Astyanax mexicanus: one gene and its partners. The protein of the gene in region 1 interacts with the protein of each later gene in a pairwise test. Links are inferred from orthologs where the notes say so. Each region holds a gene or a part of one and is shown in the gene's direction. Other genes may lie near its edges. The genes, in order: reep6, litaf, spg21 and snx15.

Region 1 (8,067 bases):
CAAAACCATCTGAATGCTCGAAATAAAAACATTTAAAAGGGGATCCAATTTTGCTACAATTTAAAGAACCCTATATGGTACCCTTTTTTTTTCATTTTTATCCCATTTGCTCCGAAATGTACAAGGCCAATTACCTTCCCCTATCATTAGTGATGCCCCAAAACCAGGAGGGTGGAGACTAGCACATGCCTCCTCCGACACATGTGAAGTCAGCCACCACCTCTTTTCCAACTTCTGCTGATGCAGCATTGCAGAGTAGCATCACAGCGCACTCGGAGGAAAGAACAGCGACTCGGTTCCGATACATCAGCTCACAGACGCCTCGTGCTGATCAACATCACCCTTTGGAGTGATGTGTGAAGAAAGTGCCATCTACCCACCCAGAGAGAGCAAAGCCGATCATGCTCTCTCAGGGCTCCGGCAGCTGAAGGCAAGCTCATTATATGATGTTTGTGTTGAGTCTGACCTCGTTGGGTTGTCGTACGCAGCAGGAGAAAGGCACACCGCAGGCTTCCAGACTGGGGTTTTTCTCAGAGCAATTAAAATAGACGTTCTGAGACCAGTCTGTGTAATCATCCACTCCACAGCATAGGAACTGCAGCAGAACAAAGACATGATTCACCAGAAAAAAATCAGAAGAATAAAGAGAAATTCAGTGAATTTACAACATTTATACATTTAAAAGACCGACCAAGTGTTTCCATGAATAAAGTCTTATTAAGACATAAATAATATTATAGAAATAATTATAATATCTATTAAACCTTTTTCTGCACAAAGTCAATCACATTTTCTAAGTCCAGGTCCTCTCGGTACAGAACAATGGCTTTCTTCATGAGCTGTTCAGTCCTGTGTAAAACCTAAGAGATGAACAGAGACATGATAAGTATTGGGTCATTATGCAAGAACTGGTATTTTTTTGCCTCCAGACTCCCCTACAGTCAGGAAGTTAAATTTACACTTTGAGCCCCCACTAAATAGTACATTTTACATATGCATTTCTGGTCAAGCTGAGAGACGCTAAACTGTCCCTGAAGTCAAGGAAAACAAAAATCGTGAGTATTTAATACAGTACTAAGGTTCTACACCAGTTTTTTTCTGTATGTCTAAGCCAAGAACCACAGATAAGCTATTCGTTTTAAAGTAAGTATTAAATAATTTAAGCAATAGTTTCCAAAAAGGAGATTAATATCTACCATGTCTGAAAAGAGAAAGCCCAGGACAGCAGCAGCAATTTGCAGCAGCAGAATAACCAGTAAAATTCCTAAAAACTGGAAGAACAGACATGAAAAGTTACAAATACTCATAACCCAATGAAGTGAATAAACAGATTATCATATACATTTTAGATATGAGTAAACAGGAGGCAGATAAATGGACAATGGGTGTAAGAATCTAAGCCACTTCGATAACTGCCAAACTGTAGGGTCAGACCATCAATAACCAGGTTGTGCCTCTCAAAAATTTGGATTTGGCACGTTTCCACAGCCATGAAAAAATCAGATCTAAGCCACATTAAGCAAAAAAACAGATTTGAGTCTTAGATTAGATTTTTTCACACAGCCATGAAAAAAATCCCATCTGAGCCATATTGACCAAAAAATAGAAATGAGTCACATCAGCCTGGTAATGTGAATGTAGCTATTGTGATTTAAATCTGATTAGAGTCGGAATTTGGCACTTTCACACAGCCATGAAAAAAAAAACAGATTTGAGTCACTTTAGCAAGGTAATTTGAATGTAGACAAAGTGACTCAAACCTGATTTGAAAAAAACTGATTTGAAAAAATCAGATTTTGCGCATTCACACAGTCATGAAAAAAAAAATACCAGATTTGAGCCATAATGGGTCAGGTCATCGGATCATGCGGGGTGTTTCCAGTATGCAGTTGTTAAAAAAGGAGCATTTGAAAGAGATCTGAAAGAGAACTGGTGACAGAAACATTGTCACACAGGTCTTACTGATGTCATCCATGGACGTCTCACATCACAACCTTCAGAGTTTACAGGATCTGAAGATTGGTGTGTATTCCTTATGTAATGTAAAAATCTGATCTCCAGTTATAGGAAATTATAGCGTTTGATTGCAGTTCCAGCTGCTAAAGGTGGCACAACCAGTTCTTATGTTTATTAGGGTGTGTTGTTATTCCTTGACAGGTGCTTTTGCTAGGAGATAATTAATGTCATTCACTATAACTGTCAGTAGTGATAAAGTTATGGCTGATCAGTGTACATATAACAATGCATACATATTACATACAACATACAAAGTACTATATTAGGTGACTGTTTATAACAAGCAACTTCAACTTCATAGTTGTATAAGAGATGAATTACCATTTTCAGCAGTATGGAAGCATCCCGCAGAGCTCCAAAACAGCCCAGGAATGTTATAATGAACATGAGCGAGCCCACAGTGAGCAGCAGAAGAGCGGGGTCCGTGGTCAGTGTGTCCACCACATCTGCAAAATCACAACAGTGCTGAACATGAACAAGAGCAACAACACAGACAGCATGAGAGACACAGCTAGAGGTTTTAATGAAAAAACAAACTCAGTACCTTTTTCTTTGGCAAGTTTAGCATATATGCCAACAGCAAACAGCACTCCACTGGCCACCTAAAAGAAAAAAAGAATCATTTTGCTTGTTTTAAATACAAAACAATCAATACATCAGTACAATAAGTCATGCTGCATTCTTTTCCCTATTAAATAGTATTTTAGACCATATTTCATAGACTCTGTGAAGACACTTACCCAGAATATGTAACAGCAGAAAAATAAAGTGTACTTAATGCCCTTGTAAGTTCTCATTACGGACGTTTTCTTCCATTTATGTTAAAAAAGAAAGGAATCTCGGCATAGTCTGACACAGTCTCCTCAGTTCCTCATTGCTGTGTGAAAGACAAGCAGCAACTTGCATTCAAAATACCTGTCTGACGTTAGTGTCGTAGATGTTACCTGAGGGGTCCTTCATTAATTACTCATGTTTTCCCACAAACAGAGGAAAGAAACACAATAGTCATAATTATTATAATAAAAAAAAAAATGAGTTTATTTTATTTTACCAAATTGAAAACCTCTGGGTAAGCAGTGTGTAAGACTGGTGGAGGAGAACATGTCAAGATGCATTAAAACAGGGATATTCCACCAAATATTGATTTCTTAACTCTTTATGAAAATGAACTTGTTTTCTTTGCATTATTTGAGATCTGAAAGCTCTGCATCTTTTTTGCTATTTCAGCCATTTCTCATTTTCTGCAAATAAATACCCTAAATGACACTATATTTATTTAGAATTTGGGAGAAATATTGTCTGTAGTTTATAAAATAAAACAACAATGTTCATTTTACTTAAACATATACCCATTAATAGCAAAATCAGAGAAACTGATTCAGAACTGAAGTGATCTCAATTTTTTTTCCAGAGCTGTATATATACAGTGGGGAAAATAATAATTTTTGTAAGTTCACCCCTTTACAAAGACATGAACAGTCTATAATTATTCTATAATTTTAATGGTCTGTTTAATTTAAGAGCGAGAGAGACACTATATTAACTAAAAATCCAGAAAAAAAACATTCAGTAAAGATTGTACATTGATTTGTATTTGAAATAAGTTTTGGATTCCCCACTGTATGTTTTATCAACAAAACAAAACTTTACATTGTATAATTTTCTGTTTTTGTATAATCTTTTATTTATTTATTTATTTTTACTTTCAAATTTTTCTTTAAAAATATTTTATTTTGTCATCAAATATTAGTTACGTTTCATGTTGTTTTCTCTATTGTTTTCTTTATTACTGAAAATAAAGTTTAATAATTGATTGGTATAAAACCATATCCATGGAAAATCATTAAATTTTTATTGATTTCCATGACAATGCACCCATTGCTGATTATTAGCTTGTAGAATGATGCATTATCATTAGAACAGGAAACTCTGGAGCAGCCGCAAAAAAGGCCATGCCTAGTATTTATCATCAGGAATAGGGCTGTACATCCCGCAGCATTAAACAGTGGAGCAGTGAAACTACTTCCAGTTCCTCTGGGATGATTACAGGCGGTCATTACAGAGAGGAATTAATTGGTTAACAGTCTTGATCCTTCCTGATAATTATATTGAACCTGTAACTGTGTGGACATTACACTTACCTACAACTGGCTATTCAAAAAAAAAAACTTGCTGTTTTATTCTGTAATCTGAGGCGTCTATGTATACAGGTCTATGAGTGCTACTGTTACCTCCTCAGATTAGTGTTTATTATGGTCTGGGCTCTGGATCCTCGTCATGGCTCTGAGGGAGTGACGCTCAGGCGCACTGCTCTGTGATTGGTCGCTGCTCTGCCAGTTCCGCGCGGCTGCAGCCTGACCCCGCCCCCTCCCCCCGTTCATAAAGCCGATTGGGGGATGAATTGAGCTCTGGCATGTCAGCGAAACTGCAGAGCGCTCACCTGCTTCACTACTGATGTCCGCGTTCATATTTACTGCTTTTAATCCTTTAAAATAACCTTTATTAACTCTGTTCACAATGCTGTCTATTTTCACTAAGATAAAAACGCGCGTGGAGGCTTTTCTCAACGAGAAGAACATCGTCACGGACTGTTTGAACAAAATCGAGGAAAAGACTGGAATTAAAAAGCGCTACCTGGCCATAGGTAAGCTGGGCTCATTCTGGTTTTAAACTGGAAAGTTAAACTGGTCCTAAATTACCCGCTATGACCCGCTGTGTTCGGTAAAGTGAGGTGAGGAATGAGAGGCATAAGCTGAGAGGAAACACAGCAGACAGCACAGAGCTCGCGACTCTAATCCTCTGAGCAGCAGCAGGTGGAACAGCACTAATCAGGATGTTACCGGCCTTCTGCGTGTCTTTATTTATGCCTTCTGCCCCAGTGACTCAGTCTGTTTAACAGATCTCCTGCACGATAAGACCATTCATAAAGACACACAGACACGCTGCTAGTTCACAAACTGTCAAACAGCTTATTAAATTCTGAAAATATATTCATCTATTACCAGTGAACACACTGGTGGAAACAATTCCAGTAAGTTACCTAAGTAAGGGTCCCCTTTGTACAATATTACTCCTCTCTAAATGAGTTAAACTATGTACTAAAATATCAGCTAAAAAAACTGCTCTTAAAAAGGTATTTGTAAAAGATATGTTTTTTTTTAAACTGATTTGGAAAAAAAAGATTCAGACTATATTTGAGAATGGGTTTGAACAACTTTAAAAAGAAAAAAATAGATTTTAATCTTTTTTAAAAATGGTTTTAAACTACTTTTTAAGAGAAAATGAGAATGTATTTGAACAACTTAAAAAAAAGATTTGAATCTTTTTAAGAATGGGATTGAACTATTAAAAAAAAAAATCTTTTTGAGAATGGGTTTGAACTATTTTTTTAAAGATTTTTGGGAATGGGTTTGGACTACTTCTTTAAAAAATGTAAACGATGATCTTTTTGAAAACTGATTATTTTTAAAAGATTCATATAGTTTAAAAAATATCCCAAAAAAAAAAAGATTTGAATCTTTTTGAGAATGGGTTTAAACTACTTAAAAAATACATTTTTTTTTTTGAGAATGGGTTAAAACTATTTTTTTAAAATATTGGAATTGTTTTAAGAATAGGATAAAACTACTTTTGAAAAATATTGGATTCTTTTTTAAAAAGGGGAGTTTAAACAAGTAACACTGTACTCTAAGTCTTATAGAAACTAAAAATGCTTCATTTCACATTTATAAATCTGACTTCACATTATACTCTTCCTCTCATCTTTACAGGAGCTGTTTCTGTTACTGGACTGTATCTGTTGTTTGGGTATGGAGCCTCCCTGCTCTGCAACTTGATTGGTTTTGTTTATCCTGCATATTTCTCGTAAGTGTATTTAACTCTTATTATAATACTTGTTCTGAATAATTTCCTACATTTAAGAAACGTATTACTGCATAGTTATATTGTGTATTAAATCTTTATTATAGAATAAAGGCTATTGAGAGTCCCAATAAGGAAGACGATACACAGTGGCTCACGTACTGGGTGGTGTATGGATTCTTTGGTGTGGGTGAATTCTTCTCTGACATCTTTCTCTACTGGTTTCCTTTTTACTATGTATTCAAGGTATGTCTTTTTGCCACTTAGAGGACAGTGACCATCACATGCAAACCCTTTAATACCTACAATAATCACATAACACATTTTATCCCTCCAACTAATCATGCATCTTGTCTTTTGGTGTTTCTAGTGCCTGTTCTTGTTGTGGTGCATGGCCCCCTTCTCCTGGAATGGCTCTCAGGTGCTGTATAATCACTTAGTACGGCCATTTTTCCTCAAGCATGAGGCGACTGTGGACAACATGGTCAGCGACCTTAGTGGGAAGGCCATGAACGCTGCAGAGTCTGTCACAAGAGAGGGTAGGTGAACATATGATAGTTAATTTGATAAAAAATGAACAGTAAACTTTAATAATTATTTTTGTGAAGAATTGCATTCCCTTAAAGCTTCTCTTTCTAATATACCATAGATTATGTTATGAATCCTATCGCAGATTCTTAAATCTTGGTCAGTAAGAGCGTTTATATGAAAAAATCCACTCATAATCGGATTAATGCGGTTAATGGAGAGATGTAAACAGCACAATCTGATTTCTTACATTGAAGAAAGGTCTAAAAATCTGGTCAGGAACTCAGATAAAGAGCTGGATTATAGCTCAGTATTTTTCGCACTATAAGGCACACTATCCATGTATGTCTATTTTCATACATAAAGCACACCAGATTATAAGGTGCATTATGTAATACTAGTAAAGAAACAGGAGTGTCGCCATGTTTTCCTTCTAATTCAGCAGGTGGTGGGTGGTGGTGGGGGATAACTAAGTTAAGTAAAGCTAAGCTAAGTAAACAAACTGTAAACTGTAATAAAAAAAAGTCAAATATGTGCTGGATGATAATCTACACAGATTTCTTTCCTGAAAACTGTTTATTTGGATGAGTAAAGCGTTTTCTGTTTACAGTAAGCTTAGATTTCCAGATTTCCATGAAGTCTATGGTTAGCGCTAGTAAATACTGCCTGACAGCGCTACACTGAGGAACTCTGAGTGTTCCCGTAAGGCAGGGTGATATTAGCTAGTGGTTTGTCCAATGTAGCTTGTTTGTTTACACAGTAAACATGCAGATTTCAGTCCAGTGCTCAACTCTGAATGGCAAAAGAGCTAGCGCTTAGCGTGGTTAGCAGCTAATGCTAATCCAGCAGTGCTAGCTTGGGTTAGCAGCAGGCTACAGTCTGATATACTCACCCCTGAACAACAAAAGCTCTAGCGTGGTTAAAGGCTAATGCTAATTCTGCTTTAGCAGTTCTTGCTGGGGATAGCAGCAGGCTACAGGCTGAAAATACTCACCTCTGAACCGTGAAAGAATGCATAGCGTGGTTAGCAGCTAATGCTAATACTACTCCAGCCCCGGTGCTGAAACTGAAACTCCTGTTTAACGATTTTTGGGAAAATTAAAAGTTTTTATGTGTGTCTTATAGTGCAAAAAATACAGTAATTCTTACTCTGTGCTTGATTTAATTAGTCAGTAAGTGTTCTTGGATTTCTCAATGAGCACATGTGGGAAAATAGGCTGTGGCAGTGTAAATAAATAAGCAGAGTTTAACACAGCACAATGCAAGATGACAAAACATGTTTAAAGCAATGCTGAAACTAAAGGGTTTTACATGTCTGACTAATGTTAACTATGACTTTGTCACCTTGTCTTTGTCAGTTATTCAGAGTCTGGCGAAAAACAGGATTCCCTTATCTGAGAGAATGGATACATCCAAACAGCTTCCCAGTACATCTCGTGTATGTAACCTTCGTAATTCTACAATATAGTATTATTTGTTTGCATAGAATGTGGTTCACCAGTAATTCACAAGTTAGCAGTGTGCAAAATTCCATCTCTTAAATACTTAACATTCAGCAGTCTTTCTTATGTGGTTTATGATCTGATCTGACACTCTTATCTGTAAAAAGGGATATTAGTACTGAAAGAAATAAAGCCTAAGCTCTAAAATGAATGGTGTGGT
Region 2 (7,872 bases), on another chromosome or scaffold:
AAATACCTGTACAATTTCTTATTATTATCACAAAATTTAAATACATTTTCACAGCCAAAATGCATCAGTAGTGATATCTTTAAAAAACGCTGTTCAAATACCGTTACTTTCGTATACTGAGTACAGTGACTTTTATTTGAAAATAAACTGTAATTCCTCCAATTAAACTAGACTAATAATCTTTCTTTAATGAAATGTACAGCACTGGTATCTTTGATATCCTTTCATGGGTATATTGTCAATACAATAAATCACAAATATTGTCAATACAATAAATACAATCACCTGTATAATATTTAAAAAATTAGCTACTGCATCTACCTCATCTGTTTTCATTTGATACATATATATTGCTGCACTAAAAGGTAGTAATTCTCATTTGTGAAAGTTGGGTTTAATGTCACTTTGAAATAAAGTAAAAAAGTAAGCAATTATATAATTTTGTCATATTTTTCGAAGAATAACTAAACACATACTTAAATGTGGTATATCATGATATATATATATTATATATACAGCATATATAGTATTATGAACAATGATTCACACAGGCAAAAAGTTAAAAGCATCAACAAAATCAATTTCTATTATTTTCTATGATAATTTCACACTGTCCACTCTGAATGACTGTTCAGACATCAATCACTAAATTATGTAGAAATTTTAAGTTGATCAGTTGAATAAATCTCTAAAACCTAAACCCATACATCATCATAACCCTGACCTGTGATTAAATGAATTTTGTAAGATGCACATAAAAGTTACTTGATGGCATGTCAGTATTAGAATTACTCATCAAAACTCTGATTTCGGGTATTCTCACACTAGGTGGTCTGTCCTGTGTTTGAGCTTGTCTCCCCCAAAAAGTCTGGTTAGTTTAACTAGCGTAAACGCTCTGTAACAAAATTCTGTGCAATCTTGACAAGAAACGCAAAACCAAAAATGTACTTTGTGATGATGTAAGCATACTAAATCCTGGAGTGGGAGAAAAGGCAGGGATGATCATTAGGTTTAGGTACGGTACCAGTAAACCAGGCCTAGTGTGAGAACACCCTTTAAGATAATTACTGCTATTGACTATTATACAGTCATTACGCTTCCTGTGTAAAAAAAAAAAGCATGTCAGATGTGCATCTATTCTTCCCTTGTTTAAAGTGACTTAATAAATCCAGTAACAGACTGCAGTTATTCCTCCTTTTCAGTGCACACCAGAGCCAGCTCTGGCAGAAACATGAATTATTTTAAAATACTACAAACAGAAAATGTGTTTTTTTTTCTGCATTTTGGACAAATATGTGACCTTTAAACATTAAGGGAGTGATTTGAACAGATGAATAAAGGTCAGCTCTTCTATAAAAATGCAGGGAGCTCCTCAGTTTCACATTATAACAGGGTTCCACTGGACAAACACTAATAGGAAAATGTCCAAACAAGGGTGAGTTAGAAGCAGCTAGACAAATGCATGCACTGGTCATGTTTGGTGTGTGTGTGTGTGTGTACATGTGTGTGAGACAACCTGAAGCCACATCCGGTCTTAAAAGAGAAATGATCATGATCTTAAGTGCTGAAAGTCCTTGTTCTAAATACAAGGATCGACCGAATCGGACCCCTGTGGACCCTCACACAGAACATCTGCCCTGTAACAGGGGAATTAGCTGTGGCTCTCGGTACCGTTAGGGGTCAGCTTGGTCTTATGCTCGACCCGTGGGCCTCGGGCTGAGTACTGGACCATCAGAAACGGCTCCTTGGTCTCTCCCTCTCCGACGATGCTCTCCTCGTCCTCGGATTGGCCGATACGCTGCAGGCGAAGGTAGCACCAGCAGCCGAAGATCAGCGCCCCCAGAGCGGCGATGGCTATGAGGATCACGATGATGGTCACCACGCCGGTGGTGGGGCTGTGGTCCATTATAGACATGCTTGTTGTGGAGGAGAAGTCGTTCCTGGTGTTAATAAATCAATCTGGGAGGCTGGCCAGCGTGGTTTTGTTGGCCTACAGGTCTTTGGATATCTGATTCAGAAAGAAAAGAGAAACATGGAAAGGTTATAATGAGTATCAGCTTTTTCCTCAATACCAAGGGTCTTTTCACATAGTTTATTATTATTAATAGTTTATTATTCCAATATGTATTAATAAATATTATTTATTAGTAAAAAAAAAAAATTCTCATCTTATCAATAACTTTATTATTTCCCTTCTTCACCTGTCAGACCTCTTCTACTTTTCACTGCTAAAACTGAGACTTAGTCCAATCATGTTAAGCTAAAGAGCTAAAGGCTAAAGCTGTTTCCATGTGGGTCAGCCAGACGTCTTCCTGTAGCAGTTTTCTCCAGTTTCCAAGAGTCTTTTAAAGGTGTAAGAAACACTACTCATCGCTCTCTGGCTTTTACAATCTACTATATATATAAAATATATATTTACAGCGAATCAGTAATAGCCCTGACAATTTACGGTACAAGTTTGTACACTGAATTTTGTCCCATTTCCGGTTACTGACTAAACCTGGACCATTGTGAGCATGTGTGCAATACCAAACAATTCCTGAGATTTGTATACTTTTAATTTAACTTTAATTAGGTTCTAATTCAGAAATCCTTACAGCCAGGTTGAGATGATTACAGTAAAGTAAAAAAAAAAAAAGTTTACTCAATTTAATTTATCATGAATTCTCTATTCCAGCACCCTACGTTGGCTTTATCTCCATTCAAACATACAAATATATACTAGTATTTTTGTTGACACCACTAATATAAATATAATTACATTTTGCATTTCCAACATTCAGTCTTTTATTAACATTTAAATATCCACTATAAAAACTTGCATCTTAAAAACAACAAGTGTGATTAATCACAGTTAATCACAGAATACTGTTGTGATTAATCTGAAAACATTTTTTAATCGATTGACACCACTAATATATATATATAATATAGGGCTGCAACTAATGCTTATTTTGGTAGTCGACTTTACTGGCAATTATTTTTCCCATTAGTCGATTAGTCAACGAACATTTCTGCCATACCCTCCATCTCTGCTTGATGGCTGGGTATGGCTGCTGTTTCTAATTTTCTTCGTCTTCGTCTTAAATGTCTTTGCTTCAGCTAAACAAAGAATTTAAATGCCCTTCATATGTCCAGAACATTGCCCTTAAAATGTGGAAAGTGCTGATATTTAGTGAGGAAATGTGTACTCTGTTGCGTTTAGGCATGTTTAGTACTTTGTGTAGTGCTGCAAATTAACGATTAGGTCAAGGAACATTTGGTGTTGACAAATTTTTATAATCGACATTGTTGGTTATATCAACTAATCGTTGCAGCCCTAATAAAGAAGAGCTTAAAAAGAGCTCTTTGACCTGAAGAGCTTAAATAAATTAGGGGTAGTGTTGTAGTTTATGTTATATTTTTAGTTCTTATATAATAACTAAAAACAGTTTTTATGTGCCGAAATAGCAAAAACACTAACTAGCTGATATAAAGCCTGAGTTAGGCCAGAGTCAGAAATCAGAGTCAGACACACACACAGCTTCTGATCTGAGAAACAGGAACCTCCTTCTGCGCGGGATTCTCGTCAACTTTAACACCAAGAATCAGCGCAAGATTTAGAGCACACACTGCAGATTATCTGTATTACAAACATATTTAATTTATCCCTTCATAAACTCTCTATTTCTCACCATGATCCGCTGCAGCTCCGCCGCTTCATTCCCGTTACCGAGCGGATCAGTCCTCCGGACCGCCCCCCGCCATGTCCCCGGCCCTGATTAATCCAGTTTAATCCGGTTTAAAACACTAAATACAGTAAATATGGCGATAATAAAGACGAATCAGAGTTAAACCCGCTGCAGCAGCGACATCATAACACAATATATAACCCAGCAGAGCAGGAACGCTGGGAGACTGACTGTCACAGGGAAGGAAGTGAGATCACAGCTGCAAAACTGAGCTCAACCAATCAGAGCAGCGGAAACGGCAGCTGCATAGAAACGGGGCAAAGCTTTATTTACCACCAGCAGCCATCCAAATAATAAAAATAAAATACAATACATAAATAACATATACATAAGATAATACATAAGATAATAAAATGTAAAAAAAATTAATGTAAATGCTATTAAAGGGGATCGAAACCCCCTGATTTTTGCTGAGTGGGGTAGTTTGGGGGAGTCACTGGATGATGTATAGGTTTAGGGGCGGGGCATGAAGGAGAGCTGATTGGCTGAGCTGGGGGAAGAGAGATACAGAAAGAGAGAGAAAGATGGAGAGAGAGGGGAGAGAGAGAGAGAGAGAGAGAGAGAGAGAGAGAGAGAGAGAGAGATGGGGATGAAGAGGGAGAGGAAAAATCACAATGTAACCAGAAATCACCAGGTGATAAAAAATATGTTAAAGAGTAGAGCAGGGAGTTCAGGAGGAGCAAGAGCAGAAATGAGTAAGTAAAAGTCAGTGCTTTTTTTGCTAATTGTGTTGCTATTAAATAATGACTGGAATATAAAACTGTTATAAAATAACTAATCAAACATTAATGTTACAGTATTGTTAATGACTTAAAGATAAATACCAATACTTATAATAAATAATAAAATTGGTCGTACACTAGTTGTTTTGCTATTTGCTACAAACATGTGACAGACATATATTTTGGGCTAGTTTAAGTTTTTGAAGAGCGGGTTTAAGACTGACTTTGGGCTGGATTTTTTTTTTGAACCTGGCAACCCTGCACATCATCTACGCCTATAGCACAGTTAATCCATAGAGGGCGCTGCAGAGGCGGAAAATACCACAAAATGGGTTTTATTAAAGAGGCACTAAACCCCCTGATTTTTGCTGACTCCACCCTCAAAATAAGTCTAAACAATAAGAGGGGTAGTTTGGGAGGGGCACTTGATGATGTATGGGTTTGGAGGCGGGGCAGGAGGGAGAGCAGTGAAATGCAGATGGTTGAACATCAGCAGGTGGGTGGTATTATTGATTGTGTGATCTCCGTATTGTGATTTGTCTGCGTTCCAAAGTACACGGACACATCATCCTCGTCTATAGCACAGTTAAACCTAGAGAGCGCTGCAGAGGTGGAAATTTCCACACTAAAAGGGTTTTATAAAAGGGGCACTAGACACCCCTGATTTTTGCTGACTCCACCCTCAAAACAACTCAAATTTGAAAAAGTAAAAAAAATAGGAGTGGTAGTTTGTGAGGGGAAATGGGTGATGTATGGGTTAAGGATCATATTCTATGTCCTCTGAAAAATAATAACTTAGTTTCAATTTATGTAATAATGAGTAAAGTAGATGTTGTGGACTTTCATTTCTGTTACCCAAAACATAAAAATTAACAGAAGTGAGTTCCAGCAACATGAATGAGTGCCGGTAATAGGAGTGATTGTTTTGTCATAAATATCAATTATTTAAACATGCAGTCAACCATTTCTTTACAATAAAGACTTTCTCATAGAAAATCAAAGGAATTAGTGGACTTTTTTTTTTAATGTCACGTGAGTTTTGTAACAATCTTCGGCTTAGAAACCTTGTAAAAAGTTAAGTAAAGCTGCCTGAGTTTGACCAGTACATGTTTTGAATAGTTAAATATGTGTTATTAGATTCAGAGTTGAAAAAAGATAAAAAAAAAAAAGTTTTATTTGAAAGAGTTACAACAATCATGTGCCCTCAGTGCATTTATTAGAACTGTGTTTTATAAATGTATAATAATCACAACTCTAACAATCCTTACCCAATTTTTTACAAGGTTTGGTTTGTTACAAACAGCAGATGTAGCAATGATACAGGAAACTGTTATACATTACAAATAGATGCTTTCATACTAAAATATTTTGTAATATGCTGTTATGCTCTTTAACAAAAACAGACATATGGTATGGCATATAAATTGTGTATAAATTAGTTCATTTTATATTTATATGTACATACATACACATACATATACATATAAAATTAATTCATTTACACACTTGAAGTTTCACGTTCCACAGAGTTTATGTTAATAATTCACTTCTGATGTTGATCCGGGTCTTTTTCTGGTGTTTTGTTTACAGTGTGAGTGAAGGGCGGGAGCTCCTCCAGACTGAGCCCATGTGACTGAAGGCGGAACTGGAGAAACGCTGTGAAAACAGACGGAGATGAAAAACTAGAGAAATATACTTTAATTCCCTCATCTGAAGCTCTTCTACACAGCGTGAGTCTGAGACACTGCTGAGATCTTATACACTGTCTGATTACTGAGCTGATAGACGGGGGGATGAGGGGTAAAGGGGGGAGTTTGTTTTTGGGCTGAAGGCTGAAGTTGTGCTGAAAGAGGAAATATGGCGACTTTGTGATGAAACGTGTAAAAGTGGCTGAACACTTTCACTTTAATAGAGCATTTTATTCTAACTGCTATGGTTAAAATATGGTATATGTGAGATAGACTGTTAGTAAGTACAGGTGGGCAGTACCTATATGTGTATACACATATATATATATATATATATATATATATATATATATATATATATATATATATATATATATGTATACATATATACATATATATACATATATATATATATATATATATATATATATATATATATATATATATATATTGTCAATCGATTAAAAACATTATCAGATTAATCTGAACAATTCTCTGTGATTAATCACACTTGTTCTTCTTAAGACATGAGATATTTATATTAGTGGTGTCAGTTAAAATACTAGTATGTATTTGTATGTTTGAGGGGCGAAAAAAAAAAACAATTGGATGGAGGAAACTATTTTTTTTTCTTTATTGTTATCTATATGTCTGAACCCAGACCTGCTCCAGAGCATTACAATATATGTACAGGTGTATATATATTTGTATACATTTACAGGACACAAAAAATACATTACTCTTTTTTGAGATGCAGATAAAAGGCTTTAGCACTAATAGTACTACAGCAAAACAATTTGCTGAAATCCATTCTCCTATCAGAACTAAACATGGTATTTTAAAATAAAACATGTGAATGGGTGATATGCACAACATGTACACAGAAAAGCAGCAGACTGTTTATTATAGTAATAAAACTCCATCTTTACGATACATATCATGATAGTAAATGTCATATGGTGAATTTGTGATAAAACATGTGAATGTGGCTGAGCATTTGTACTGATCCTCACCCTGCTGCTGCTGCTGCTTCTTCTTTTCCTCCACAGCTCCAGGGATGGCCAGCGCTCCTCCTATGGAGATCATGGGTCCGACGGGACAGGCAGCTCCCTGCCCACCGACTTATGAAGAGTCTGTGAACGCAGGAACGCCGTTCCCCCCCGGGGCTCATATGCCCCCTCCGCCTGTCTACAGCAAGGCCCCCCAACCCCCCTACCCAGCCCAGGGCTACACCCAGATGTACTCACCTCCACCTCCTCCCACTGGACCTGGAGCTCCTGTGGGTGAGTAGGAGCATGGTGTTTCTCTAGAGTTTGGAGACTGAGCCTAATTCAATTAGGAGATACTATGTGTGTGTGTGTGTATGTGCTGCAGCATTACATCATTGCTACATCATAAATATAAATTATAAATGTTAGATGATCTACACTGTCACTAGGTTTGATGAAGAATATACTACTTGCATTACTTAAGTAAAAAAAAGGTTGAATACTTAATATTTAATTTAAATGAGAACTCTAGTGTAAAATGGACTTTTGTTGTAGTAAATCATGATGAAAAGTACTTACCTTTGATGAATAGCACACCTCCGTTCTCCCACAGCGTTCAGAGATACAGAAATTTGAACAGTTTGTCCAAACACCCTTCAGACTGGATGACACGTGGCATAATTTGCCCCGATAAATCGCTTTTTCCACAGTTATCCAGCTCAAAGTAGCTCCACACCTCCCT
Region 3 (8,670 bases), about 9.3 Mb from region 1:
ATTGGAAACCCAATGTCTGCTCTTAATAATAAAAAGTTAGTTGTGATAGTATTATTATGCTAGTATATTAATACTGTGGCACACTGTCTTAAAGCTCCTTTGGGAGCCCAGAAGCAGGAAAAAAGCTTTTTCTATAGTGGCGCTTTACAATGACCATATTATCGTTTATCGCAATATTTTCCGGGATAATATATTGTCCTGAAAATGTTGTTATCGTGACAGGCTTAATACTGATCAACGTTCATATGCATTTTACGTACAACATTTTTATATGGCTGTCCTTTAGACTGCGACAAAATTAAAAGATCAAAAATATTTCTACAAAATGATTGGAATATTTTTTTCACCCACACTGACTTCCATTGAAAGTGAAGATTTTTCCATTACCTGTAAAGGTAGTCACTTCAGAGACTTTAGAATTTATTATGAGATAAGGATTTTTTTTTTTAATTAACAGCCATACAGTGCAGAAAAAGAGCCAAGAAATTAATTATATATATATATATATATATATATATATATATATATATATATATATATATATATATATATACTGTTAGTAATACTAAATAACTAAATATAGAAGAATAATAAGAATAATAAGAATAAGAATATTAACAATTACAAAATTGTAAGAGTGAGATATAGAGTTTGCTCACTGTTTTAGCACAATTTGGTCTGGTTAAAATGGACTCTGGTTTGTTTGTGCCCTTTGTGCAGTTTGATTGAGCAGGTGTAAAAACAGTAATCGCACTCGGGTGCAAATCAAAACACCTGCTAGTGGAGGTGGTCTCGGTTCGGTCCCAAACAAACTCTGGAGCGGTTCACTTGAGGTGAGAACGTGATCTGGTCTGTATCTGATCCAGCTATTAAATATACTATTTTTATTTGAGCTTTAACTGCTGATAAGGTGCAGTTTAATCTGTTATATTTGTCTGATAACAGTAATTACCACAGCTATTAAACTCTGCTACATGCTGTTTACATGCACAATTAATGTGATAACTTGGTCACCAAGTTACGTCGCGCGCACGTAACAACAACGTTATTTGGTTAGCTGGGTGTGCTGCAGTTCTGCACTCGCAGCTGCACGATTTCATTTACTAAGTGTACATCTGCGGTAGGGGTGGGCGATATGGCCCTAAAATAATACCACGATATTTCATGGTATTTTTGCAATAACAATACTCTTGGAGATATGACAAAACACTTTTAAATAAAATATTTCAAAAATACACTATACACTGCAAGGAAAATATATATATATATTACAGATATATTATAGATATACTGGAACTGGCACACAAAATCTTCTTGCTATATTTACTTTCTTGCTCCTGCACCAGACAGTCTGACCAATCAGAGGAGACAATGTGCTTGCGTGGTTTATAGGTGAGCATTTTGCTGAGTTTAGATTTATGCCTGTGTGAAACCAAACCAAACAGAGGGAGAAAATGCTCCAAGTAAACAAACTTATCAACTGATCAACTAGACTATAGTAACCAACTACAGGTGTGGAAATGCCCTAACATTGCATTAGGCTATGTTGAATGTGTTGCGGTGCACATATAACTGCATTTACACAAACATGTCAAAGGTCATGGGATAGCACTATGTAATTACATTCAAGTAATGTTATCTCAGGAGACAGCTTGAGAACACTTACAACTGTATAAATTGTGAGGTTTTATCTTGTGAGTAAGGCTGAACACTGGCCAGTGTGCTCACAGCAAGGCAATGTGAATTATCAGAGCTAGATTGCACCAAATAGACAACACATTCTAATTTGGAAGTTGTTTAGACACGTATTAATACTTTATCCAAAGAGTCACTTGTGTATGATCTAGAAAACCTGAACTTATTGTAAACAGCACAATAAGTGTGTGATCACATCCACATTTAAGGCACAATAGAAATGTCTTATAATTTTGGGCATGTCAGTGTAATTAGCTCTGTCCACTGTCAAAATGTTGAAATGGTATTGCTAAGGGAATAAAAGAACATGTTCATAAGAAAACTTAAATTTGCTAAACAACATAACATTTTATTTTACCCATGCTTGCCAACCTGTTGCACATCCAGACAAAGACAATTTTAATAATTTCTTATCCCATTAAGCATAGGGATTTATTAAAGAAATAAACACAGAACTACCTTTCCACCATCTCCATCCTTCATCCCATCCTTGGATGCATAGTACACACAGGTCTCTGAGAAAGATCTCACAGGGACTTTATGGGTCAAACGAATTTCATGAGATCCTGTTCGGCTAAGAGAAAACAGCTGTACTCTTGATCCATGTATTCCTAGACAAAACATAGAAAATAATTTTAGTGACTCTCACACACACAGTAATGTAGGATGACCATATGTACTTATTTTTAAGTATGAAAAATAATCTAAATTGCGTAAAATATCTGAGAGTTCTTGTTTGTTTTCTCTGCCACACCTGGTCTACATGAAGCTGCATCTACACACAATCAGGTTAAACTGCTTAACACAACATTCAACTGACCACAGCCTAAACAAACAAACTAAATATACACAAACACACTTTGCATTTGAAATAATTAATTTAATCAATCTCACACTTAGTTACAGGCCTAACTTAGGCCTAAGTGAAGCCCCTCCGCCACTTAATCCCAACCACGGTGAATGCAAGTGCATCTCAAAATTCCTTTTATTAAAAAAAAACAAACAAACAGGTAGCTCAAAATATGAGAAAAATTGTAGAGTTACAGTCAGTTCAGTTTAAAGCCTTTAAATAATACTTATTAAAGTCAAACTCACTGTTCAGTGTAGATGTTTTACTACTTCTTGATTTATCAATTCCTTTTTTATTTGATACACTGTTACCTTACATAAACAAACCATTCGCTTTATTCAACAGTACGCTCCTTGGATTAAATTAATTACTGTCTCAATTTAACGAAAGCACCCAACTCCAAACCAAGGGAAATATTGAAAGAAAAAATATTTAACCAAAGCAGAGGTTTATTATACTAAGGAAATGATTTATTGAACTGAAGAAATAACTTATTAAATTAAAGGAACAATTTATTTAAGTGAAGGAGTGATTTATTAAGCTAAGGGAACGATTTATTAAATTGAAGGAGTGATTTATTAAATAAAAAGACAACAATATTTTAAATTGAGGAAACAATTCACTAAAAATGAAAGAAACAAACTTATTAAAACGGAGAAAACGATTAATTAAACCTGGAAAACATTTTATTAAACTGAGGAAATAATTTATTAAACCGAGGAAACGATTCATTATTTTAGGGCAACAGTTCATTAGTCTGAGGAAACGATTCATTAAACCGAGGAAACAACTTATTAAACTCAGGGGAAAAAATAATTAAATTATTTAGCTAGCTAATAAACTAAGGGAGTTATAAGGGAATAAATAACTGAAGGGTTTATTAAACTAAGGAATAATTTAGCTATTAAACTGATTGTTTATATGATGTAATGGATTGTTAAATTAAGTGAACGACTTTAAAAAAATTACTAACTTACACTGTTAAACCGATTTAGATATGTCTGTAAGTTAAATAGTAGCAATTTGGTGTATCAACATTCATACTTCAGCTGCTCCGTTGTTTAGCCGGTAGCTAACGTTAGCTAGGTTGGTTAAATGTCTGTCAGGTAGGTTAGGTTAGCTAGCTTTGGCTAACCGGGTATTAACTCCCCTGTACTCTAAAAAACATGCCTTACAACTACAATACTCAACAGTTTATTAGAAGTACATATCCAGTGTTTAGAGAACTTTCCATGTTGACCAAAAAATAAGCTTATTTTTTATTTTATCTCCTAGCTAGTGTTAGCTAGCCCACAGTCCAGGTCTGTGCTAAGCTAACGCTAGAGCTAAAGTTTTAGCAGCATAATAAAGTGTGTCTCTTACCTTTATGAGCTGAGTTTATGAAGAGTCTCGCTGCTGAGGTGCAGGCACAAGACATGGTTTCCTGCCTTAGCTAACTTCTTCTAGTTCAGCTGGAGTAAATAGCAGCTCAGCAGTGAAATACCGGAATATAATAAACAGCAGATATTCTAACCTGCTCCCCAGCTGTATACCATCACCACCATTCAGTTAGCTGCTGAACTCGCTAAAGCTAGCGGACCTGAGCGTTGAACAACTAGTGCAGGTCCACTGCTGCCCTCCTTAGTCCGTTGGGGTGAAATGAAAATGTCAGGAGTTGAAGGAAAGAGAACGTCAGCCTGCTCTGAGGGACACCGACCCAGGTGACTGGAGGGGAGGTTTAGAGCTGCTGTGGGTTGTGGCCAGATGACGCCAGATTATTACAGTACAGGAGATTTTGAATAACCTGAAATACCCCCAGAAATACAGGCCAGCTATTAAAAACCTATGTTTTTTCACTAGTAATTACATCAGCTGTAACGTTATGTATTGTACAATAGAAAAAAAAAATATTGTACAATAGTCATCCCCGGAAGAATATTATAGCCATCAACATCATTGTAATGGTATTCTGTCTACATATGCTATGTTAGTATTCATTTACATGGAAGCTTATCTTCTCCTTATATTTTAAATAAATAAAAAAGTAGGCACACTAGACAAATGTAAACTTGCACCGATGTGGGATTTCTAGGCCGATGCCAAATTTCGATATTACACAGGTTTACAGCTTTAAAAAAAAAAGAGACCACTTCAGTTTTTGAATCAGTTTCTCTGATTTTGCTATTTATAGGTATATTATGTTTGAGTAAAATGAACATTATTGTTTTATTCTATAAACTACAGACAGGATTGAAGCACTCACCACGAGGCCTCAAACTCAAATGTTGTGGGATCCCAAACAGATAGATCCTGGATTTGACATTAAAGATAATATGGTTCCAGTCTGTATAAATATATATATATATATTTATACTGTAACAGCAGGAGGCATTTTGCAGCAATCCAGAACACAGCATTTGTGTATGTATTTATTTATTTATATAATTATTTGTTTGTTTGTTTACATATTTATTTATATATTTATGTATTTATTTTTGTCAATGACCGGATGATAATAAAAATATTATACGTATATAATTAAATGTAATAGTTAATTTATATTTATTAAAATACAAATTAAAATAGTCAATTATTTTATTTCCATTAACATAAAAAACGATTAGACTACATTTATTAAAGGAATACATTATGTTATTAGCATAAAAATAATTATTACATTTTATTTTTGATTTATTAAAATATAATTTAATGCTTAAAATATTCTCCGTCACCATAACGTGGTGGTCGTACTGGGCATGCGCAGAGCCGTGTGTAAGATGCGGAACTCGCTGTCATATGACTTCTCGGTTTGTTGCTAAAATGGTGCTGATCCGAGGCTGAAGTCTCCGTTAAAGGTAAAACACATCTAAACAAAGCACAGTACTGTTATATTAACAGCTCTGTGATATAATGCAGCCCTTTAAGATATTTTCGGGGCTTATTTCAATGTTAGAATATCGCTATTTTACTCCGTATTTTAGAGCACACGACCAGCTGAACTTGGCTTTCTAGTCGACTTTTCCATTCCACCTTAAATTGTGCTGCTGTTAATACTGCCGCCTGAACACCCTTTGGAACGCAGCTAATGCCCCTGTTTTAAGGTGGAACCGAAAGTTCTGGGTCTAACAGGAGAAATGTCTGTAATTCTGCGCCCAGACATGTTGTTAGTAAGTGATATCGTTTAGTATATGCAGTTACTATAATAGGAATTGTGACAAAAACATGAGTTATCTTAGCGAGTAAGCTAGGTTAGGTTAGTGTGTGTGACAAAGTGATCCATCATTAACAACGTGATTAGATAAAAGCTGTGTAAGCTGTTGTGTGTACAGTTTTTTTCTTTGATAGTTAAGTAGACAGGGGCTTTACTGTAGTTACCTTTTTTCCTAGATTTATTTAGATTTATTGTCACTATTTAATATAGATGTATGTTGTTTTGGGCACGAAAATAAAAAAATATCCACTTTTTTTGTGTAAGCAATTTAGGCATTAAACATGGTTGTTTTTTTCTGATATTTTTAAGGTGAATTGTGTATATTAGGTGTAAGAATCCTTTAAATAAATGTTTTATTAGAATTGAGAAGTAGAGTCCACATATTATCTATCATATTTAAAATGACTAGTGTCTGTGTTATTATTTCAGTGTCAATCTGCAATTTTAGAGTAAGTGTTGATAACAGGTGTTATATGGTTCAATATAACGTTATTTTACAGTTGCAGTGCCTGCACTGACATTAAGTGGTCCACAGCAGGCCATGTTGGATGTGTTCTGGTGTTGTTCTAACATTAATGCTGTAATTAAATTATTTGTTCACTTTTAACAAGGAATGTGATGTTGCACAAAGCAGCCCTTTCAGCCGCTACTGAGGAGCATTGTTTCTGTACAGAGTCCTGCGCAGAGTTCTGTACAGAGTTGTGTTAAGTCTCTCTTGTGTCTTAACCTGTAAATTGATTCTATTTTAGAAATGGAGGAGATAAGAGTGTCTCCTGACTACAACTGGTTTCGAAGCACAGTGCCCCTGAAAAGGGTAAGCTTATGCTTCTGTTATATGTTTTAGTACAACTAGGTCAGGTTGTATGGTCTGATTGTTATTGGATTTCATTTTAAAATTAGTGGTATTTTTTGTGTTTAATATCCCATGACCCTTTCTTTATGGCTTCTTAAGTCGCTCCATCTCTTCATGATTTGAACCATGTGATAGCCTTGTGATCCAGCACCTTTAGGAATGTGACTGAGGCCAGGCTGCTGTGCTTGTGACACCGTGCTGCGATTGCTGCTTTTCAGATCATAGTGGATGATGACGACAGTAAAGTTTGGTCACTGTACGACGCCGGGCCAAAGACCATCAGGTGCCCAATCATCTTCCTTCCTCCTGTGAGCGGTACAGCTGAGGTTTTCTTTCAGCAGATTTTGGCTCTCACCGGTTGGGGCTATCGGGTAATTTCGGTAAGTTTCTTAAAACTGACCATTGTTCAGAGTGTCTGTAGAGTTTTACAAATCAAAAGTTCTAGTGAAGATTAAGTTGTCTTAAAGGAGAGATTTATTTTTCAAAGATGACTATGAGTAAAATGGTTTCACTTCATGTTGAAACCTGTAAGTATCATCTGAAACTTTCCTTTTATCTATTCTTATCACAGCACCGGAAAATTAGTCCTACAGTGTTTTGTTGTACTGTAAAACCCTGTACTGGTATCATGACAAAGTTCAATTAAATTGAATAGATTTTTTTCTTTAAAAACTATTGCATAGCTGTTTTACATTAAAGCTCTTCTTTTAAGATAAGCATCAAAAAATGAAAGAGCAAATTACTCAAATATTTGACAATAAGTGTCAATGACAGTTGTCACTGTTAACAAGCATTTTCTTATATGGCAGACATAATCAGCACATTTTAAATATACACGTGCATTTAAAAAAAAATATAAAAGTTTCTTTATTTCTTTTATTGTTGATGATTTTGGCTTACAGCCTATAAAAACCCAAAAGTCAGTATTTCGAAAATAGAATATTATATAACAAAAACTGGTCCTTTTGGCAGTGTGGGCAGTGTGCTCCATAAAAGTTGTTAGCAGAGGCAAGCATGAAGTGCTGTAAGATTTTGTGGGAAAACACTGCACTGATTTTAGACTTGATAATAAAACACAGTGGATCAACACCAGCAGATCACATGTCTCTCCAAACCATCACTGATTGGTAGAAACTTCACACTAGACCTCAAGCAGTTTGGACTGTGTGTCTCTCCACTCTTCCTCCAGACTCTGATTCCTTGATTTACAAATGAAATGTAATATTTACTGATGATCAGTGATGGTTTGGAAAGACATGTCATCTGCTGGTGTTGATCCACTGTGTTCTATCAAGTCCAAAGTCAGTTTTCCCAGAAAATCTTACATCACTGACTTTGGACTTGATTTAACACAGTGGACCAACACCAGCAGATGACATGTCTCTCATAACCATATGAGACCAAATGAAACCATATGACCATAGCAGTTCCCATAAATGAGCTGCTTGCACGTCTTCACATTGCCTACAAGCAGGTCAGTTTTCTCTGCTGAGAAGCGCAGAAGCACTGCGCTGTTAAAATATCAATTTGCCAAAGACTGAGAGCACCTGCTTCTTAAAGGAAAAGGCAAGTGAAACCCTGGTTGGTTTATTTCACCTTACGCCCAAAACACACCCATGATTAATTAAGAGAATTGTGCGTATTCTTTTGCACCCTTACGATACCAAAGACACATTGTCAAGCCCTAAATCAAGCTGTACACTGCACATTTGAAAATAGACCCACACTGTGTTTTTCAACTGTCATTAAAACATTACTTTACATCCATTTTTTAGGCCCTGTGGGATTCTCCAGGCCATATTAGCAATTATATTCATCAACTAAACTAAGAAACAATTTAAAAATAGCCAATTTTTGTCTTTTAGAAGGACCTGTGTTCAAAGTAACAATAACAATGAGTTTGTTAGTATTGATAGCTTGCATATTACTGCCTGTCGAGGACCTGCATGTAATGGCATGTTGAGCAATCATTCCATTATACGTACAGATTTACAGCCTTTTAAGTTAGATTAACTCATCTGTGAACTCATTCATGACTCACAAGACAAACATTTCAGTCCCTCCAAATACGTTACACTTTTC
Region 4 (8,681 bases), on another chromosome or scaffold:
ACCTCTATATAGATGTTTTAGCAGACATAATAAAAAAGTGTGACATTATTATGAGTATCAGTAAAAAAAATAAATGTCTGTAACACAGGATCACCATAGACAGTGTACACATCATATATGGACAGCAGACTGGAGCCTCTGCTTAATTTACTAAATGCACTAAAAGTAGCAGACTTTCCCTCCCTACACGCACCTTTTTATTGCACTTCTGTTCTTTGTTGTCGTCTCTTGAACTCTTTATTATCTGATATTTATTGCTTAATGTTGTACCGCTGTCCAGAGCTTGACGTCACTCTGAGAGGAGTGTTTACTACTTTTACTACTTTGCACAGTTTGATTTGTATGAAACCTACAAGTAGGTAGATCCTTCATTCTCTAAATACAGTGAGCTCAAACACATATACAACACCTTTCTTTAGTGCCTGGTTGATGAGCTTTTCCATTTCAATGGCCTGTTTATTTCCTGGTTCATTTCTGAGTAGGATGTGAATATACTTCAGAGCTCTTTCATATTCCTGAGAAAAGAATAGATAAGAACAGAACGAAGACAAATCAATCAGAAATTCAGTTATTACTAATTTAAACTTTGAATAACACTAATAAATGACAGAACCTTATTAATACAGTCTGTTCAACATGGTCCTTGACTGCAGTGCAATGATGAAAGACACATTTATAAAATAATTTACCTTCATTTAGAACAGAAAATAAGAACTGTTCTCGTCACCTTGAGTCTGTAGTTTGCAACAGCCAAATAGAACAGGAAGTCTCTCTGGTCTTCTTTTGAGCTTTTCTGCAACAGCTCTGCCACAGTGAACAGAACATAAGATGAAAATGCAGTGTATTGTCAAGTTCTTCTGAAGAATTCAACAAAATAATGTGTTCGCAGGATCTGTAAAACTATTCTAGCACAGGTTCTTGATGTTCTTCCAATGACCCTCTCACCTTCTAAAAGCTGAATGCCTTTTCTGATGTCGTTGGTGTATTTACTCCTGATCAAACACCACGCATACTCAAATTTGGTTTCTTTGGACACAGGTCCTTTCACCAGTTCAGCATTGTATTTTTGCTCAAACCTCTGTCAAAAAAAGAATATCAGAAAGAGGGAAGTTAAAACCATACCACCTGGTAGTGGGTGCCAGATGGATAGGACAATTCATTTCTGAAGTTGTGCTGGCATTTATCATTTCTTAATACAGTGTCATTAGCACCCACAGTAAACAGTGCAGTGGGTGGGTATGATTGTGTCTGGCATTGTCTGGCTGAAATTGGTTATGCAAACAAATATGCGACTCCAGCAGAAATCACATTTGCATTCAAACAAGAGACCCCCATACATATCCTTCAGGTCAGTGCAGCATTTTTTAGCTACCATGGGACATTGCAACATTCTTTGGACATAATTCTAGTTCCTGTCCAATGACATCTGGCATGTCACTCAAAATTTAATTTTTAACACATTAGCTTTACATTCTTAAAAACAAAAGTTTTTAAAATATATTTTTATAGGTATTGCAATAAAAGGTGTGAAGAAATGTGAAGAAACTTTAAATTGGCACATAATTTTAATACAACCTTTAGGTTCTTTAGGACTCAAAACACATACAAATCGATCACAAACTTGGTCCTTTAGGAAAGCAAAAGTGACTCTTCTATGGCATGGGTCAAAAAACATTTAAAGAATGTAGATTCATATGATGATTATATTGTGGATTATAAGCTTAAGATACAACAAAACTCTATGAGACATGGCCAATTTAGCACAATCTAAGGGCCAAAGGTTCTTGGCAGGTTCTTAATAACCGGATGTTTGTAGCTGGACTGGAATTACAGTGCCAGTTGTAACAGTTGAGGTGCTACTACTTTTTTTTCTTAGCTTATCTTATCTTATCAGGATGTCATGAAACTGAATCATAATAACATGTCATGTACAAATTGTTGCATTATTGGGCATAAATAGGGCAGCAACCATGCATGTTTTAAGCAGGTATCACTGTCCAGTTGCCAATGGCAACAGACTTAACTTGATTACTGTAAACTGATTCAAATTATCTCATTAAATGCTAAAAAATCAGCAAATTTTACTACACTCAAAATAGTTAATATGAATCATATGTCTGATATGTTGAGTTTTACATCCAACAGACATAGACCTAAATTACACATATTTATGGATCATACATATATTTGGAATTGCAGTGTGTACACTTGTACATAAACCCAGAACTGTTACACTGTCTACAAATAATGTATGATACTACACTATACTCAAACTAGAATCACGATCATGAAAAATCTTAAGTATAAAACCTATTCTGGTTTGTCTGACACAGAATAATGTGTACAGAATAATTCTTCATCTGTTCTTGTAGAGCTTTAATGTCTTCAATATTAAATTCACAATGCAGAAAATCATTAAAGAATAAAAAAACAAAGAATGAAAAGAGGTGTGTCCAAACCATTGAATGGCACTGTATCATAATACAATAAATGACTGCCTTAATGTCTAGCTTTAATCTGAAACACGTAATCAGAATAACCTTTTAAAAAGATGTTAACTTAGAAAGCTAGGATGTGTTTAAAAATCTTTATTTCCATTCTAGTAAATACAACTTTGTGGTGTTGTCTCCTAAACAGTGAGGAAATGTTTTAACCTACTTTATATGTCACAATTAAATTTGAATACAATACTTAATCTTATCAAGTCAATATTGTAAATATTAATGTGTATTATCTATGGGCCATTCCACTGAATGGGTGCTATTTCTGTCCCCAGGAAATTACATATATAAATGTGCACATTTTTTTATACATTATATTATTAAGCATCTTGTTGTGTACACTGACCTAATCGCAAAAGTAAAATATGTAATTAATAAAAAAATAATAATAAAAACTACTTTTAACACTGAAAAATTGCACTTGTTACCTGTCCCCACTCTCGAACAATAAACTTTACCATGAAATATAATTATTAAAATCCTTCACAGACGTATTTTTTGCATTGCTGTGTGACTCTAAATCCAATATATGCTTTTCATAATAAATTCATTATATTTAAGTTAAAATACACATTTTATTTGTGTCCCTAAGTTTTACTCAGTCCTGTTACCATAAAACATTTCCCCATCTGAAACATTCTACAAGTCACATCTACAACAGGAAGTTACATCAGTTGTTTTTCGAGAAGACCAATATTTGTTTTTCTGTATATTTGATCTTATTGTAACTATGACTGAGGAGGTCAATCTCAGCACTCATTTCTGTTACCTAAATAATTATTAGAAGTAATTTGTTTATTTCTTAAGTTTTGGGAAAATCACTAGAATTTGCTCAGTGTCCTTATGCTATTAGCACAGCCGCCATTTAGCTATTTTTCATGTCTTTCATGTCAAATTCTACGCTAAAAGATTAAGTAAAGCTGCCTGAGTTAGACCAGTACATGTTTTGAATAGTTAAACACATGTGTTAATAGATTAGAGAGTTGGGAAAAAATGTTTAATTTGGAAGAGTTAAGTTACAACAAGCAATTTGCACTGATTCGTTGCTATTGGTTTCATAGATTATTTATTATCAGGTTGGAAAAGAGCAGTAGTTTATGTATAAGGTCCTATGTAGCTACATATGGTATATTTTATTGTGTATAGCTACATTAGGTATGTTTTACCACTGTGAATGTTGGTGTGCCCACGATCTTCAATCACATTGACAACTTTTTGTGCTAATTGGATGTGACAATAAAAGTGAACTCTTTAGTATTTCTGATACAGGTTAGCTAAATTAAAGGCAAATTAAGCAGATCGATACAGAAGGGCCATCAACGTAAACGACGTAACGCTAAATAATCAACCAACAATGATGTAATGTCGATTACCAGTCCTGCCTGTCTAACTACCAGTGTCTCAGAATCTAGTTTACTCACTCTGTTCGCGGTCGAACAATCACAGAAAACATGTTTATGATATAAAGAGGCTACTCTCTAAGTCGCTACTTGTTTAATGTCTGTTAAATTCGTATTTACCTTCAAATCTTCCGGAGCTACGACGTCCGTCACCACCTCCTCCATGTTGCCGGAAACACTGAGCAAATCATAGGATAAAAGTCTGTGACGAAGCATGTGTGCCAAACTATTTTTTTTGCACTAAAACAAAAATACATAATAAAATAAGTAATAGATATTTAAATGTTCCATTTCAATGTGTTCTATTTTTTCTTCAATGCACAATTTGTTATCGAGTTCCAATATATGTATATTAAATTCTGTGCATTTCTTTTAAACAAATGCAATAATTATAATAATAATTTTATAATAATTATAATAATAATTATTATAATAATTTTTTTGTAAGCTCTCCAGCGATTTACAATGACACATTTTACCAAACTTGTATATTGTCTATTGTCTCTTCAGAATGTTTTCTTTTTCATTTAGTCTTACTTATTATTATATTAGTATATTTATTATTAGTAGTACTGTTATTGTTTACACTCTATGTGTTCAAGTGCAGTTGGATTGCTGGTCAGTTTATGCAATAAAAATAAAGGCATCATATATTACATATATTTCTTGTTGTTTTGGAATGAATGAACTTCATTTGGCATGTGACTTCTTGCTTTTCCTCCTTAAAGTGTGTTTAGTCTTTCAGTATTTGTATTTAAAATCTTGTATTTTAATTGTTTATTATTATATTTAAATGAAAATATTTTAAAATATATTTAATATGTATGAAATACAGTTTTTTTATAAACGCAATTTTTCTGAACCACATTTTTGCAACGTTTTATTTTTATGCATATGTACACAAATAATTAAATGCATAAATACAATTTTAAAAAGTCACATTTGTGTTTTTTTTACGTGTACGTTCAGGCATTTTTAGGCTGTGGTCAGTTTTAGTTGTGGTTCGTTTTTTTTTTTTACCAGTATTAGCAACAAATACAAACACATAAAATTGTAACATATTATTTAAATCGACTATAAAGCAAAAAAATAAGTGGGCGCAGGTTCACATTTATAAAAGTGAGGAAAAACGAAAAGCGCGCAGTTCATTGGCCGCTGGTGACGCTGCCTCATGAGGACGTCACTAAGCAGGAAGCAGCTGTCAAAAAGCCCAAACACTGGTTTCACGTTAGGAGCCGTAGGAGCAGATGGGGCTGTGTTGCTTGTAGAATATTAATGAATATAGCGTTTCCTAATGGCTCGAAAAACTAAGAAAGAAGAGTACTACCGTTTCTTCACCGTTACAGATCCACGCACACACGAGAAAGGCCACACGGAATATAAAGTAACGGCGAGGGTTAGTAGAAATCAGCTTAATCCTGATCTGGCAACCGTTCATTTCACTGTTAGCTCGGTTATAGTTACCCTTTAGAGGCTCTTTAATGCGATAACAACATGATAACAGTGCTTCTTTTCTTATTTTTCAGACAAAATAGATATAGTTTCAATATTTTAAAACGTTTGCAGGAGTTTCTACAAAAGTAGTCACATGTTTTAGCAGATTTAGCTATTTGACATATTCAGTTTGACTTCGAACAGTAGCTATAACTCTAACAGTAATCTTAGTTTCATGTGTGTATATGTGATGTCTAATGTCTGTTACACTGACTGATTATAAAGAAATACAGTGTGATGAGTGTAATGGTTAAGGTGCCCCTCTGTACCATGGTTTAATATTATTAATGGGCCATTGTTCGCAGTGTGATTCAATAAAACTCGTGACACAGTGCATGAGGGGAGACCCCCGTGATCTGGCTTTGTGCCCATTGGGTGGATTTTAAACTGCCAACCTCCTGCCACAATGGTTTAGATTGATATTAGATTAGATTTGCCTTGAAGTTGAAGGACTTTGCCTTCAGGGGAGAATTGTTTAGGACAGACAGATCAGTCTGTGCAAAATGTATTTAATTCTGTGTAGAGCTATATAATGCACATTAATTTAACAGAAAAACACACTTTAAATGCTATCATTCTACAGTGGTGCAATTAAGTAAAAAGACACATGCCTCCTAAATATCATTTAATAGAAGGTTAGAAATCATTTTAATATTATTTCTAATCCAGGGTAAATGTAAATAAGGTTATATATGATTATGGAGCATTTCTGCTGGCTCACTAATAATCAAATACTCATTCAATGTAAAGAGCTGTTACAATAATATAAAAAAACCTGACATATGTTTTATACAGCAATAAAGTTCTGTCATTTCCAATTATTTACTTCTGAAATAATGTTTTACTTCTGCTCTTCTTTCCTTTCTCACTTTTCTTCTGACAGTTTGTGTCAAAAAAGCGACCAGAGGATGTGAAAGAGGTGAGTTGTGATCCTGTCCAGTCACTTGGTTAATGTTGGGCAAGTACAGCTCTGGAAAAAATAATAGACCTCTTAAAATGATGAGTTTCTTTGATTTTACCAAATTGGAAACTTCAGAAACCAAGCTGAACTGCTAGAATTTTTTGCACCAGGAGTGGCACAAAGTTATCCAAGTACAGTGTGTAAGACTGGTGGAGAAGAACATGCCAAGATACATGAGCTGTGATTAAAAAACAGGGTTGTTCCACCAAATATTGATTTTGGAACTTTATAATTATGAACTTGTTTTCTTTGCATTATTTGAGGTCTGAAAGCTTTGCTTCTTTTTGTTATTTCAGCCATTTCTGATTTTCTGCAAATAAATGCTCTCAATGACAATATTTTTAGTTGGAATTTGGGAGAAATGTTGCCCATAGTTTATGCAATGATGATTGAGATAAGACATTTCTCTACTAATTTGCTTATACAATTTACATATTTCTCTTGAAAACGATGAACTTATGTTAAGGCTGTTTTTAAACAAAATAAATGAATGCAGTCCAGTGAAATGAACAGGATGAATAGAATTGTATTATTCCTAAAGTGGTAAGATAAAAACGACAGACACAGCAGAAAAAGAAATATATCTGAATTGAAATTACTGACAGTGGTCAGAGTGAGAGTTAGAGTGGTGTTCTGTTTTGATTATCAGGTAGTGATATGGAGACGGTACTCAGAGATGAAAAAGCTGCATGGAGAGCTGGCATATACACACAGAAATCTATTCAGAAGACAAGAAGAGTTCCCCCCTTTCCCTCGTGCACAGCTGTTTGGTAAGACCAATTTACAATGGTTCTGCAGCAGAATCATTGCTGTACTGATATATTAAAACCATATAATTCCTTTGTAAACCTTGTAGGATTGCCTTTATATGAGTGCTAACATTAGTGCTAACATTAGAATGTGGACTCAAAACATTACTCTGTTTAATGATTTAGATTTTTTGTTTAATGATTGATTTTTGTAAAAAAAAAAAAGGGTGAATAGAAATACATAAATATATAAAAATAATATTTTTCCACCAAAGAATTTTAACATTAAGTGAAACACTCTTTTTATAAGCAAAGTAGAAATACTGTTAAGTTAAAATATTTATGTTTTCAACAAACAAACTCTCTTTTTGTCTCTTCTGCTTTCTCTTTCTCAGGTCGGTTTGATGAGTCAGTGATTGAGGAGAGGAGAAAGGCAGCTGAAGCCATGTTGCTTTTTACGACAAATATCCCGGCACTGTACAACAGCCCACAGCTCAAAGAATTCTTCAGGGTCAGACCTGCATGTTTATACACCTTTGTGCTCATACACACACGTTTGACTCACTGTGAGTCAGCAACTTTAACATATTATCAGAATGTCTCAGAATTTACTGTCTCTCTTTTACTCTTTTAAAATGATTTATTTATAGTATATTATCAGGGGTCCACAAGTACACAAGCACGGTATCTGCCTTAAAATGTATGCTCACATTGCTCATGTGAAGATCTGTTTCAGCACAAAGCGTCTTAGTGAGTTGTTTTGCCACCAGATTAACACCAGCATACCTTAACACAGATTCTACATATATGTCTTTAGAAGTGTAATGGTGGGTTGGAATAGAAATACCATTCTTTCAAAAGATATTCCTTCATTGTTTCTTAGTGTTTAAACTGGAGAATGTTGTTTAGTGTTGCCTGCAATCTGATTTGAGATCTGGTGACTCAGATTTTGCTACTTGTTATCTGGATCTGAAATCAAGGAAAGCTGGCTCTGCTTAACATATTATACATACCACTGAGCATGATAGAGACTGCTTAATTGAATCATTCAGTAAACATGTCGATAAGCATCTGTACAGGTTATGCTTCTACTCTGATTTACACAGGGGCTTCCTGTAATTTCGAATTTATCTGTATTTATCAATTAAATTAATTGAAACTGAAACTTTAGCATAGCATGATAGCAGTCAGTAAGTTGCCAATAGTCTAGTTAACCAGTAGCAAATGGGGGTGAATGCTAACATATGTATGTGGGGAATTTTTTTTTAATAATTTTCATCATTCCTGAAAGTCAGACAGCAAAAGACTGGTTTGAAAATGTATTTGCTGGTGTTTAATGATGAAGACCATTTTAATGTCTTAGGTTATCTTTGTTATCATTATAATTGTTAGGGATTCTAGGTTATAATGATTCTTTATGCATTAAAAAGTATTTTGCACATCAAAACAACGTGCGAACATGGTGAGGCTTTACTGACCTTTTGAGTAGGAATCCTTACTTATGGGGGTGTTTCAGTTAAAAGTTCCTATTTTGAAATTGTATTTAAGCAATATAACCAAATCATACACACAAAAT

Evidence for each region.
Region 2: the proteins of reep6 (region 1) and litaf interact in binary tests that used the Homo sapiens proteins (3 or more experiments, as listed by UniProt). The two-hybrid records come from large-scale screens. The link is inferred for Astyanax mexicanus from reciprocal best matches to the Homo sapiens genes REEP6 and LITAF.
Region 3: the proteins of reep6 (region 1) and spg21 interact in binary tests that used the Homo sapiens proteins (3 or more experiments, as listed by UniProt). The two-hybrid records come from large-scale screens. The link is inferred for Astyanax mexicanus from reciprocal best matches to the Homo sapiens genes REEP6 and SPG21.
Region 4: the proteins of reep6 (region 1) and snx15 interact in binary tests that used the Homo sapiens proteins (3 or more experiments, as listed by UniProt). The two-hybrid records come from large-scale screens. The link is inferred for Astyanax mexicanus from reciprocal best matches to the Homo sapiens genes REEP6 and SNX15.

Annotation. Positions count from the first base shown.
Region 1 is NC_064423.1:18,732,947-18,741,013, forward strand, and holds the start of reep6 (receptor expression-enhancing protein 6), read left to right. Parts: upstream 1-4,406; 5' UTR 4,407-4,533; coding exon 4,534-4,660; intron 4,661-5,786; coding exon 5,787-5,880; intron 5,881-5,984; coding exon 5,985-6,123; intron 6,124-6,247; coding exon 6,248-6,416; intron 6,417-7,763; coding exon 7,764-7,843; intron 7,844-8,067. Other genes in the region: zgc:113223 (tetraspanin-33), read right to left, coding at 467-595, 765-860, 1,197-1,271, 2,338-2,462, 2,561-2,618, 2,757-2,813. UniProt on the Homo sapiens protein: Required for correct function and survival of retinal photoreceptors. Required for retinal development.
Region 2 is NC_064410.1:58,136,942-58,144,813, forward strand, and holds the start of litaf (lipopolysaccharide-induced tumor necrosis factor-alpha factor homolog), read left to right. Parts: upstream 1-4,303; 5' UTR 4,304-4,426; intron 4,427-6,043; 5' UTR 6,044-6,183; intron 6,184-7,190; 5' UTR 7,191-7,198; coding exon 7,199-7,424; intron 7,425-7,872. Other genes in the region: snn (stannin), read right to left, coding at 1,652-1,915.
Region 3 is NC_064423.1:9,406,475-9,415,144, forward strand, and holds the start of spg21 (maspardin), read left to right. Parts: upstream 1-5,295; 5' UTR 5,296-5,379; intron 5,380-6,484; 5' UTR 6,485-6,486; coding exon 6,487-6,549; intron 6,550-6,806; coding exon 6,807-6,968; intron 6,969-8,670. Other genes in the region: clpxa (caseinolytic mitochondrial matrix peptidase chaperone subunit Xa), read right to left, coding at 2,155-2,306, 3,908-3,962. UniProt on the Homo sapiens protein: May play a role as a negative regulatory factor in CD4-dependent T-cell activation.
Region 4 is NC_064415.1:23,823,712-23,832,392, reverse strand, and holds the start of snx15 (sorting nexin-15), read left to right. Parts: upstream 1-5,090; 5' UTR 5,091-5,195; coding exon 5,196-5,297; intron 5,298-6,278; coding exon 6,279-6,314; intron 6,315-7,005; coding exon 7,006-7,126; intron 7,127-7,500; coding exon 7,501-7,616; intron 7,617-8,681. Other genes in the region: fis1 (mitochondrial fission 1 protein), read right to left, coding at 410-515, 728-804, 946-1,078, 4,022-4,066. UniProt on the Homo sapiens protein: May be involved in several stages of intracellular trafficking. Overexpression of SNX15 disrupts the normal trafficking of proteins from the plasma membrane to recycling endosomes or the TGN.